3 linked regions of the Alligator mississippiensis genome follow. The protein of the gene in region 1 interacts with the protein of each later gene in a biochemical or structural test. Links are inferred from orthologs where the notes say so. Each region holds a gene or a part of one and is shown on either strand. Other genes may lie near its edges. The genes, in order: PARD3, JAM2 and JAM3.

Evidence for each region.
Region 2: the proteins of PARD3 (region 1) and JAM2 form a complex in vitro, tested with the Homo sapiens proteins (2 studies listed by BioGRID and IntAct, with this or other methods). The link is inferred for Alligator mississippiensis from reciprocal best matches to the Homo sapiens genes PARD3 and JAM2.
Region 3: the proteins of PARD3 (region 1) and JAM3 form a complex in vitro, tested with the Homo sapiens proteins (2 studies listed by BioGRID and IntAct, with this or other methods). The link is inferred for Alligator mississippiensis from reciprocal best matches to the Homo sapiens genes PARD3 and JAM3.

The regions. Positions count from the first base shown.
Region 1 is NC_081828.1:194,860,544-194,864,288, forward strand, and holds the start of PARD3 (partitioning defective 3 homolog), read right to left. Parts: upstream 2,874-3,745; 5' UTR 2,673-2,873; coding exon 2,553-2,672; intron 1-2,552. UniProt on the Homo sapiens protein: Adapter protein involved in asymmetrical cell division and cell polarization processes. Seems to play a central role in the formation of epithelial tight junctions. Targets the phosphatase PTEN to cell junctions.
Region 2 is NC_081824.1:286,856,597-286,860,341, forward strand, and holds the start of JAM2 (junctional adhesion molecule B), read left to right. Parts: upstream 1-1,016; 5' UTR 1,017-1,164; coding exon 1,165-1,219; intron 1,220-3,745. UniProt on the Homo sapiens protein: Junctional adhesion protein that mediates heterotypic cell-cell interactions with its cognate receptor JAM3 to regulate different cellular processes. Plays a role in homing and mobilization of hematopoietic stem and progenitor cells within the bone marrow.
Region 3 is NC_081839.1:27,935,207-27,938,951, forward strand, and holds the start of JAM3 (junctional adhesion molecule C), read left to right. Parts: upstream 1-1,507; 5' UTR 1,508-1,565; coding exon 1,566-1,605; intron 1,606-3,745. UniProt on the Homo sapiens protein: Junctional adhesion protein that mediates heterotypic cell-cell interactions with its cognate receptor JAM2 to regulate different cellular processes. Plays a role in homing and mobilization of hematopoietic stem and progenitor cells within the bone marrow.

The sequences.
Region 1 (3,745 bases):
GGTCATAGGTTACAGGGTGGGGCTCCACAGCTCACCAAAACTCGTTAAACGGCCCTCCAGCCAAAATAATTATCCACCCTTGCTTTAGGCACACATGCTCTAAGCAATCCCCTTGAAGGGACTGCTCCCAGTATAGAGCAGTGGGTGCACAAGTTTTGCAGGACTGGGACCAGTGTTTTCAAGTGGTAAGGCCAATTAAAATATTTTCAAAAAATGTCCACTAGATTTCTGATGTCCTGCAAGAGGTGTGTGCTTTCCAAAGGTTAAGCAACTTCAAATGAAGTCAATTTGAAAACACCCCCTCCTACATATTTTCCTCCTCAATTACATATTTGATTAAAATAAAAGGTTAAAAAAGAAAAAAAAAATTAAGCTTCATACAACTGCAGCGTTCCAGTACAAGTGGACCCTCTAATTTCCACCCTAAGGGTGGAGTCCTACCATAAAGATCTGACATTACCACACCAACTATTTCCATATTAATCTGTTTCCTGAACAACAGTCCTGGTGTTCATTACATTTGGGGAGTTCTTCGTGTTTACTTACTGAGACACTTGTGTGAATCCCTACATTACCCAAGCACTTCAATGCAAGATCTTCAACTAACAACATCAAAACTCTGTTTTACATTAACAGCATAAAAGCAAGGGGCATGTGGTGTCCATTTTGGTGTTTTAACCAGACAGTATTTCCAAATAACAGAAACCATCTCATTGCAAGTAGGGTCACCTCAAGCCCACATGACTGAAGTACAGCTTAATCCCGGACAATACATAAATAAATGAAACAGAAGGTCTTTCAAAACCAGGATCAAGGGCTTCAGGGGCTGGAAGCCACCAAGACTATAACCACACAAATAGCCTTGGCGGTGCATCTGTCAATATATCACATTTCAGAGGTTCTTAAGTTTTTTTCCCCATACGGTAGACAGTTTTGGTCAAAGATAACTTGTCCTCATTTGCAATCATACAGAAATCAGAATATCTTCCTTCACATAACCTCCCTGTGTTAACTATTGTAACGGTTACATTCCTGAAATTATATTTCAGTGCATTTGTTGCCATATTTTAATGAATTTTAGCAGCTGGAAACAAGAATGAGATTCAGCCCGATGTGAGAAGAAAGATAGTTACAGGCTACAGGTTGGAAACCCAAGATGTTTAATACAAGCAACGTTATTAATGCAACATTAATACTAAAAAACTTGGGGACCATTTCGGAGAACATATGGCACCCGTTAAATTAATAGCATTCAGTCCAGGAGTCGGGGTTTACCAGATTGGGGCTCTTAACTATAAGAAAGCTTGGGAAGCAGTCTTTTATTTGCATGTGAAATGCCACGCACAACAAGGATGGTATATAAATGATAGCAGCTGGTATATAGCAGCTGCCATACTTTAGTTAATCATTGTACTTTTTCGCTAGTCAGTGCTGTAACTGTGTGTTACACACCAGAAAGATTTTAAAAGATACACTAAGTAGTCATGATTTTTCCCTCCAAAACCATCTTCTTGAGGAAAATTCATCAAAAGGTAGAAACTTAATTGCCTTCGTCCCCCATCCTGACCACGTCTTGGGGGGGAGCGGGGAGGGCTGTGGGCACATCCTGTCCAACCCACCGGCCTAATCCCCGTGTACTTTCAACTCCAGCTTGGCGCAGTTGGAGAAACTCCTGATGTAAACATCTGTAAAGCGAAACCCTGCCATCAAGTATGTGTGTGTTTTGGGGGGGGGGGGGGGGCGGATTTCAGAGAGGTTGGAAAAAACCAAAGAGAGTAATTCATGCCCAAACATCTGAGCCGAGTACTTGGAAGAGACACTGGACAACATTTCATTAAATAACCAGCCGCGGGGGGCTCCGACTGGAGAAAGGCAGGCAAGCTTTTGAGGGCACAGCCGTCTCCGCCCGGCCGGGGCGGGAAGCAGCCGGGGGCAGCGGGGGTGCGGAGGAGACCTTCCCACGGGCAGCACCCGAGCCCCGCCGAGCCCGCCTCCCGCCCGGGGCCGCTGCCAGCGGCGGCAACCCGACCGGGCCGGGCGGGGCCGAGCGGGGCCCGGCGCACGACGGGGGTGGCGGTGGGGGTGCGGGCCGCCCCTGCCCCTGCCCCTGCCCTGCCCTACCCTGCGGCCGCGCGTGGCCGGGGCCGGGCTCGGGGCAGCGGACGGCGCCGGCCGGACACAGGCTCCTCCCTGCGCTGGAAACTTTTTTTTTTCCGGGGGAAGCCTTGGCTGACAGGACCCCCCCGGCCGGCCCGGCCCGGCACGGCCCTTTTGTTCTCCGCGAGTTACTTTCTTTCCTTTTTTCTCTGCAGCTGCAGAGAGCCGCTGCCCCGGGGCCAGGGCCTGGCTCCTGGCGCCGCCCGCGGCGGGACCGCCACTCCGGCCAGCGCTCGGCTCGGCTCGGCTCGGCCCGGCTCCCCCCGGGCGCGCCCGCGGCGGCGGCCCCGGACAAAGCGCGGCCCCGGCCGGGCTCCGCTCCCGCTTCCCGGGAAGCGCCATGTTGCTCCCGACGCCGCTCCCGCTCCCGCTCCCCCGGCCCCGGCCCCGCGCACCTTGGCGATCGCCTTGCGGTAGCGGGTCACCGCCTGCTGCACCAGGTCCAGCACCTTCATGTTGCCGTCGCCGCAGGGCACCACCACCCGCGTGCGCCCGAAGCACACGGTCACTTTCATCCTGCCCGGCGCCGCGACCCCGGGCGCGCCCAGGCCCCGCTCACATGCTCGGCCGCCGCCTCCGGCCACCTGTTCCGCGGCCGCGCGCGGCTCGGGCGCTCGCTCCGGCGGGGGCCGGCAGCAGCGGCGGCAGCAGCAGCGGCGGGACGGGGCCGGGGCGGCGCTGTCTCCCCGCGATGGCCGCGCTGGGCATTGCGGCTCCCGCCCCTGCCGCGGGGAAGGGCCGGCTGCGGCTGCACCTATGACACGCGCCCGGGGCGGGGACTGCGCGGGAGGCGGCGGCGGCTCCTTTCCCCCGCTCCGAGGGGAGGAGGAGCAGGCGGGACCCTTCCCTTGAAGGCTGCGGCAAAGCCAAATCCGGATCCACGGCAGCGAGGGGGCAGCCCCCCGCCCGGCTGCGACACGGGCGCTTGTTCCCCGGCGCAGCCTGGCAGGGCAGGGCAGGGCAGGGCAGGGCAGAGCCCGGCTGCCCGGGGAAGCTCCGAGCAGCGACCCACTGGATCAAGGGTGGCCGACCTGCGCTCTTCAGAAGTGAATATGCCTCTCCTTGAGTCTGCACCAGCTTGGCGGCTGTGCTTGGAAGGAGCTGGCCCCTGTGTGCTCGTGCAAAGATTCAAGGAGACACGTGTTCATGTCTGAAGAGCCATAGGTTGGCCACCCCTGCAGCCAGTGGGGACGCGTAGCGGGTGCATGAGGGTGCACGTGCACCCCTGAGAGTGCTGTGCGCCCCCTGACAGGCCGCGCTCCCCGCTTAGGCGAGGGGCAGGTAGGAGCCCTGGCCAGGGAGTGGGAGCGCCGCGTGAAGTGCTGCAGCCACCTCCAGGAGCACCACGGCCGCTTCCCAGTTGGTACAACTGGGGGACCCTGCTATGCCCTGGTTGGCAAGACTGGCCACAGGGGGACTCTTGCTGGTCGCTGACTGATCGCTGGAGGGTAGCAGTCACCCATGCCCACAGTACATTATAATGAGCTGTGAAGTCAAGTGGCTCCCTCAGCACTGACCAGAAATGCTGCTGCCAGTGACCAGGCCTGGACAGAGGCATGGGCGAACTGGGCAGCTGCCCAGGGCCTGA
Region 2 (3,745 bases), on another chromosome or scaffold:
GTAAAGTGAGCAAAATGCTGGCTTGCATCCACAGATGCTTCTCAAGCAAATCCCAGGACGTTATTCTCCCCTTGTACTCAGCTTTGGTGAGGGTGCAGCTGGAGTACTGTGTCCAGTTTTGGGCTCCACAATTAAAAAATGATGTGGAGAAGCTTGAGAGGGTGCAGAGGAGAGCCATGCGCATGATCAGAGGTCAGGAAAACAGACCTTACGATGAAAGGCTGAGAGCTATGGGACTCTTCAGCCTGGAAAAGCGCAGGCTTGGAGGTGATCTGGTGGCCCCTAAGTTTATCAGGGGTGCTAACTAGGATCTGGGGGAACGTTTGTTCACCAGAGCGCCCTGAGTCATGATGAGGTTGAAGGGTCACAAACTCCTCCACGACCATTTCAGGCTGGACATAAGGAAGAACTTCTTTACTGTCTGAGCCTCCAAGGCCTCGAACAGCCTGCCACCGGAGGTGGTTCAAACACCTACATTGAACGCCTTCAAGAGACATTTGGATGCTTATCTTGCTGGGATCCTATGACCCTAGCTGACTTCCTGCCCTTGGGGCAGGGGGCTGGACTCGATGATCTTCCGAGGTCCCTTCCAGCCCTAATGTCTAGGAATCTATGTATCTATACGCTAGTGGCGGTTCATTTTGATCATGGAAAAATGTAGCGTTTGGCTTACCTTTTTTAACCCCAAATTACGGATTTTTATTTATTTATTTTTTTGTTATCAGAGGCTCCTCGTTCACATGACACCGGCAGGGTATTCCTACTGCCTGAAGAAGGGTGCTAACGCCTCGAAGCTGACAGAAGAACTTTCCCCCCCAAGTCAGTCGGTCTGATACAAGCGCTCCCATCTCCGCGGGGACCCTCGCCCGGCGGGGCTGATTGGGACGAGGGAGAGGGGCTCTGCTCCCAGCTAGTGGCGCCCACCCCACCCCACCCCACCCTGGGGCTGGCCCAAGGCCACGGGAGGCGCGGAGCAGCGCCGCCCCGAGGAGCAGGGGCCGCTCCTTTGTCTCGTCCCCCGCCCCCGGCGCCGCGCCGGACGCTGCCCGCGGCTGCCTTTCCCGGGGCTGCGGCGGGGGTCCCGCCGCGCAGGAGCCCGAGCTCGGAGCAGCCTCCGCCTCATTAGCAGCGTCCCGCGGCCGCAGAGCGGCTGCAGCCGGGAAGATGGCGAGTCGCCCCTGCCTCCTGCTCCTGCTCGGCGCCTTGGGGGCTCTTAGCTGTAAGTGGCGGTGCTTCCCTCCCTCCCGGGGGCCTTGCTGGGACCCCTCCAGCCGTGCACGGGCCGGGAGAGCCGGGGGGTCCCGCTCTTCGCCTCCCTCCTCCGCTCGGGCAGGGAGCGCGGGACGGCCGGCGCGGCGGCGGGGTCCCTGCCGCCTCCTCCCGCCTCGCAGCCGCAGGGTCCTGGAGAGGGAGGGGTAACAAATGCTGCTTGCTTGCTTGTGCTCACGCTCTCGTTTTCGTTTTCACGTTTCATGGCACTTCTGCCTCCAGGCAGCAGCTGCTCCAGAGCCCTAGGGGAAAAGGAGGGTGGGAAGGGACCTGTGCAGGTCATTTAGTGCAGCCCCTTGCTCCAAGCAGGACCAGCCCCAATTAAGTCATTCCAGACAAAGCTTTGTCATAGCAGGCCTCCAAGGATGGAGAGTCTGCCACCTCTCTGGGCATGGGGGACTGGTGCCGCCTTAGTCAGGGGGGCATATGATATTCCCCCTCCCCCAAATGTTGCCTGGGCCTCCCCTGGCTGGTTGCACGACTCCCCTGCAAGTCCCCACTCCCCAGCCGGCACTTGCAGGGAGGCACTGGCGCTCCCACCTGCACCCCTGCCCATTGCTTGAGTGGGGAGTGTAGCCTGACAGGGGGTGCACATGCACCCTCTACGCATCACCACAGTCTCTGGGGAGCCGGTTCCCGTGTTTCACTACATCCCTAGGGAGAAAGTTTTTCCTAATATCCAACCTCAACTCCCCTTGCTGCAGCTTGAGACCATTACTCCTTGTTTTATAGATGCTGGGGCTGGGAAGGGACCTTACAAGATCATCAGGTTCAGTCCCCCAGCACTTAGGCAGGAAAGACTGCTGGGGTCAGATGACCCTAGCAAGGCAAGTGGCAAGATGCTTTTTGAAGATTGTGGGGGTGGGTGACTGTGCCACCTCTGTCATCTGCTACCACTGAAAAGTCTCTCTTTTCCAGTGCTTTACTGCCCTGCTCCTGAGGGCATTTTTCTCTAACTTAAACTCCCTCTTCAAAATCATTCGATTCCTAGAACATGAGGGTTAGAACGGACATCAGCAGGTTATCTAGTGCAGTCGTTCTCAACCTTTTTTGTATCGGGACCCATGTGTAAACATCGATGGACAGTTCTGACCCAATCCTGCTCGCTCCTGAGCCACTGCCCCTGTTCCAGGCCCCGGCCCTGCAGTGTGTGGGGCAGGGGGTGAGTGTAAGCGAGGCATGGAGAGCCCCAAGCAGCCCCTTAGAGGCTAGGACTGCCAGCCTGCAAGAGGAAAGCCATGGTTTCCCACATTTTTTCTCCTTTAAAGGAGAATCCATTTTTTAAGTTGGTTGATCCATTTTTAAAGTTTGTTCATGACTCTTTCATATATTCTTGCAACCTGCTTTTGGGTTGCAACCCATGGGTTGAGAAACACTGATGTAGTCCAACCCTCTGTTCAAAGCAGGACCATCCTTAACTAGATCATCCCAGCCGAGGCTTTGTTTAGCCAGGCCTTAAAAATCTCTCTGGTTCTCTTGCCATTGGGGGGGGGGGGGGGGTCTCACCCTAACAGGGCTCACATTGCTTTTGAAAGGATCTCAAGGCACCCCTGGGTGCTGTAGTAACCTGGAGGAACATACTGGTGCCACTGGAAGACATCCAGCAGAGCAATTAGAAACTCAAGCAGCTTTTTTCCCATGAAACCAACCTGCTTAGTTGTCCCCTAGGTTCTTGTTGCTGCTGCCATCCCGGTGGCAGCTGAGTGGCGCTTGGCGTAATCAGCAGTATAATGCAAATGTTGCCTTTCTTAATACCGAGCTGATTTCTGCATTCCTTTAATCCCCATAGCTGCTTATAGCCCTATGTAGCTTTAGTACAGCTTCAGGTCAGACCCCAGAGTCTGAAACTATTCTTCTCCTTGACTCCAGCAGCCGAAGCCAAAATATGTACCCAACATAGAAAGAACAAACGATAGCTTCAGCACAACTGCGGGGAGCATATAGTGAAGCTATTGTTTGCTCTTTCTTTGTTCAATACATATTTTGGCTTTTAGATGCCGGCAGTCAAGGAGAACAATAGCTTGGGTCTCTTGGGACCTGATCTGATGCTCAACTACAGTTGTTGGAGCTCCACACTGTTAAGCAGGCTTGTGGTTAACCATGATAGTGCTTTTACCCAGTAATGCAGCTTTTCAGAATATTATTTTCTCCTAGAAATTAACAGGTGGGAGCCAAATATTTTTGCATTTCTGTGAAGTGGTTTGAATGCATTATGCCAATGGAAAAACAAAACTGGATCTTGCAAGTTCAGAAACGCAACACAGGTGTTTTTGTTACTTTTGAATCATTTTCTCAGCTCACTAAAAAAGAACAAGAAAGGGCATAATAAAATGAATCTGAAAAAGCTTGCCTGACCTAGAGGGCAGGCTGAACGTAAGTGTGAGATACCAGAAGATATGAAAACACAGCTGTAGATAAACGGTAGATTAAAATGCAGCAAAATATGTCAGGCATCTGATAAGACAATATCATATGT
Region 3 (3,745 bases), on another chromosome or scaffold:
GCTAGGTGACAATGAGCTTTGAAGTCATAGAAATCAGAGAAAATGAGGGTTTCAAGGGACCTTGGGAGGTCACATCTAGTCCCACCCCATGCTCAAAGCAGGACCAACCACAACTATATGTCATCCCAGCCAAAGCTTTGTCTAGCCGGGTTTTGAAACCTCCAAGGATGGAGATGCCAACGCCTCTCGAGGTAACCTGTTCCAGTGCTTCACCACCCTCCCAGTGAGAAAGTTTTTCCTAATATCCAACCTCAACTTCCCTTGCTGCAACTTCAGCCCATTGCTCCTTGTTTTGTCATCTTTCACCTCTGAGAACAGTCCAGCTCCATCCTCTTTGTAAACCCCCCACAGGGAGTTAAAGGTTTCTATTAAACCCTTCTCAGTCTTCTCTTCTGCAGACTAAATCAGACCAGTTCCCTCAGCCTCTCCCCATAAGTCATGTGCCCCAGCCCCCGAACCATTTTCATTGCCCTCCACTGGACTCTCTCCAATTTGTCCCCATCCTTTCTGTAGCGGGGGCCCAAAACTGGACACAGGACTCCAGATGTGGCCTCACCAGTGCTGAATAGAGGGGAACAATCACTTCTCTTGACCTGCTGGCAACGCTCTTACCAGTGGGCCCTGGGACCTCCTGGTCAACCTCCTCCTGGCCCTGGCCAAGCTGGCTATATCTTACTAGGAATGCAGCTCTGACCAGAAGGGTCCCCGGGGACTGCAGGGCTGTATTCCTGGGTCTCCTTCGTTCCCATCTCTGAGCGGAGCACCACTGGACAGTAGCTGCCAGCTCCCTGGCTGCCTTTGAGAGTCAGTGGGCACTCCCTGGGATGCTCTGCTCAGCGCCTCCTGAGGGTACACTACTTTTGAACCTCTAGCCCACGTGCACAACCCTTTTAAAATATTTTGTCCCCCAAAATCAGTTTCATAGATTTCATAGACATTAGGGCTGCAAGGGACCTCAGAAGATCATTGAGTCCAGCCCCCAGGGGCAGGAAGTCAGCTGGGGTCAAAGGATCCCAGCAAGATAAACGTCTCTTAAAGGAGTCCAGAGTAGTTGGCACTCTTGTTTTGCTTTTGCCGCCCCATGGAGTGGCAGATCCGAGTGACATAGCAGGCATGTGCCCATGTACCCAAGGGCATCAAACACACCAGCCCAGGATGCTGTTATTATCCTTCTTGGCAGCAAGGGCACACTGCTGGCTCCTATCCAGCATCTTGCCCACTGTCCCCCCGCACCCCACACGTCCTCTTCTGCAGAGCTGCTGCCCAGCCAGCCCGCCCCGGCGCATGAGATTGTTTTGTCCTCGGTGCAGGACGCTGCACTTGTCCTTGCTGACATTTCTGTCTCCGTGTGGGGGTCCCTGGTTCCCAGCCCTGCCTGCCCCGCGCTGCAGCAGCACCAGCCACGCGGGGAGCATCCGAACCCCTGCGCCCCGGCGTTGCTCGGAGACGGTCGCCGCGGCAACGCGGCGCCTGCATCCCTGTCTCCCGGGCGCCGCCCTCAGCATCCCCCGCTGCCTCCTCCCCGGCCGGGCAGTGCGCAGGCTCCGCGCTCCGCACAGCCCGTCATGGCGCTGCCGCCGCCGCTGCTGCTGCTGCCGCTGCTGGGTGAGTGCGGGCTGGGGCCGGGGCTGGTCCGGCCGCAGCGCTGGAGCCGGCCCCGGGGGCCGGGCGGGCACCCTGCACGGAGCAGGAGGGCAGGGGAGCGCCGGTGGCTGCCCCGGGCGTGGGAAGGGATGGGGGGCACTGGGGTTCCCGCAGTTATACAACATCCAGCTGGAGAAAGGGAGACCGGCCCTGCCATCTCCTCGCTGGCTCGGCAGGGATCCCCGCCCCATCTCCTCCTCCGCTTCTGGATGCAGGAGAGGTCCAAGCAAGTAAACATTTGATTTTGCAAACGGTCGCGGGCATTTCCGAAACGTCCCGCGAAGCTGCTCTCTGAGTTTGTCGCAGGTTCGCCGGTGTTTCGTGTCCGCGCAAACCACCTGTTTTGGGGACTGAAGTCTTCGCTGAAAGAAACGTGTCCGGTCCAGGGGGAAATCACTTGGTCTGAGGGCTCTGGCAGGGTCTGGAGCTGTGATGATTTACATGCGTGTTGCCAGCGGCTCCGTCCAGCCGAACGGTGGTCATCACAGAGCAGACAGTGACATTTGTAGTTAAATCTTGGCAGGACTGAAGCTTTTATGTCCCAGAGCTGGGTGTCAGCTGGTTCTAGGGACTAAGGCCATATCTGATACCAGCTGAGGGTTAAAAGCACGAGAGAAGAGGGGCTGTGGCTGGAAAACTCTACCAATAAAACTTGGCAACAGGCTGAGGCTCCTAGCTGCAGAACTGTGAATGCTTACGACCTTATTCACATTACACTGTAGGGTCCTTGGGGCCATGACTGCCTCCCCACAGCACCACGAGGCCCTGGTCTCGATTGTGGCTTCCAAGTGCTGCCAAAATACAACAGACCAGGCCCAGAGCCTATAATAAACCGCACAGTTCAGGGCACGGAGCCCAAGAGCTGTCTGTGAGAGGCGAATGCACCAGGGCAACTCCGTGAAACAAAGGTACCGGCACAAATTGTCAGTCAAACCCTGATTTATGTTGTCGCAACACAACTCCGGTGATATTGCTGCATTGGTGGACAGGCCCTTAAATTTCGAGGACTTCATTGTTTCAGCCTGTTAGGGGCAGGGTTGGTCTCTGGACTTTGAATAAGCCCCAGAAATTCGAGGGGTGCATGGGCCCATCTGCTGCGATGCTTTGTTGTGTTCCCAGTCGCTGACTCAACTGATTTTGACTGGCTTAATTCTAATACACTTGATTCCACCGAAGCATTTCTTAATCTAGGCAGTAAGTCTCCTGACTTTTTTTTAATATAAAATCCACCTGTCCCAGAAGAAACAACTGCTGGGAGTCAGCTGCTGGTGCCAGAAATGGCTTCTTGATAGGAATGTTTTTAGCTTTAGCTTGGTTATGAATGAGGGGTGGGGGTGAGTGGCTGGTAAGTATTTTCTGATGACAGTCAACTGCAGTGTTGCTTTATTTTCAACACAATACAAAGGAGGAAAAGTTGCTCTCTTATCTGGGCTACAAGTGGATGCTTGATGCTGTGCTCAGAAAAAATTCCTTGGGAGGACTTGGTGCTTCCTAATGGGAGAGGAGCACTTGGTGTCGCTTCTGAAGTGTAACCGAAGGGGCTGCAAGTTTTGTGCACATCCACTCTACAGCTGTTGACAGAAAATGCCATGCGGGCAAATTCCCTCTTTCTCCGTGTGCTTCTGGCCGTGGTTTTGTTGCCTAAGCACAAGTGGGTGGAAGGAGGGGGAAAATGTATTTTTGTGTGAGGACACCAAGTTGCCGAGCATGGCTGACCTGGTTATGAACTTGGCTTCTCTTTGCTGGCCTGTTTCTCTTGCAAAGGCTGAATTTTGTGTCTCTTGGAAGGAACGTGGCTTTTTTTTTCGGCAAGCCCATGGTGTGCTTGGGAGCTGAACTGTGCGTAGGAGCTGCATTGCCAGCGGTCACCTAAGCACATCCATGGAGCAGAATGTTCTTTTGCACCGAGCTCCGCCAAGGACAGCGGCTGCTTTACGGATCATACTCGGTAGCCAGGGTCCCTGTATCACCTGCCAATTTGCCCCGTTTTCTTTGTTAACTCCAAAAGTCAAATGTTGGTGAGCCCTGCCAGCTCTTGCTTTTCCTGAAGCTTATTTGGATCAAGAGGGGAAGTTTTTGTTGTTGTTGTTAAGTTTTGCTC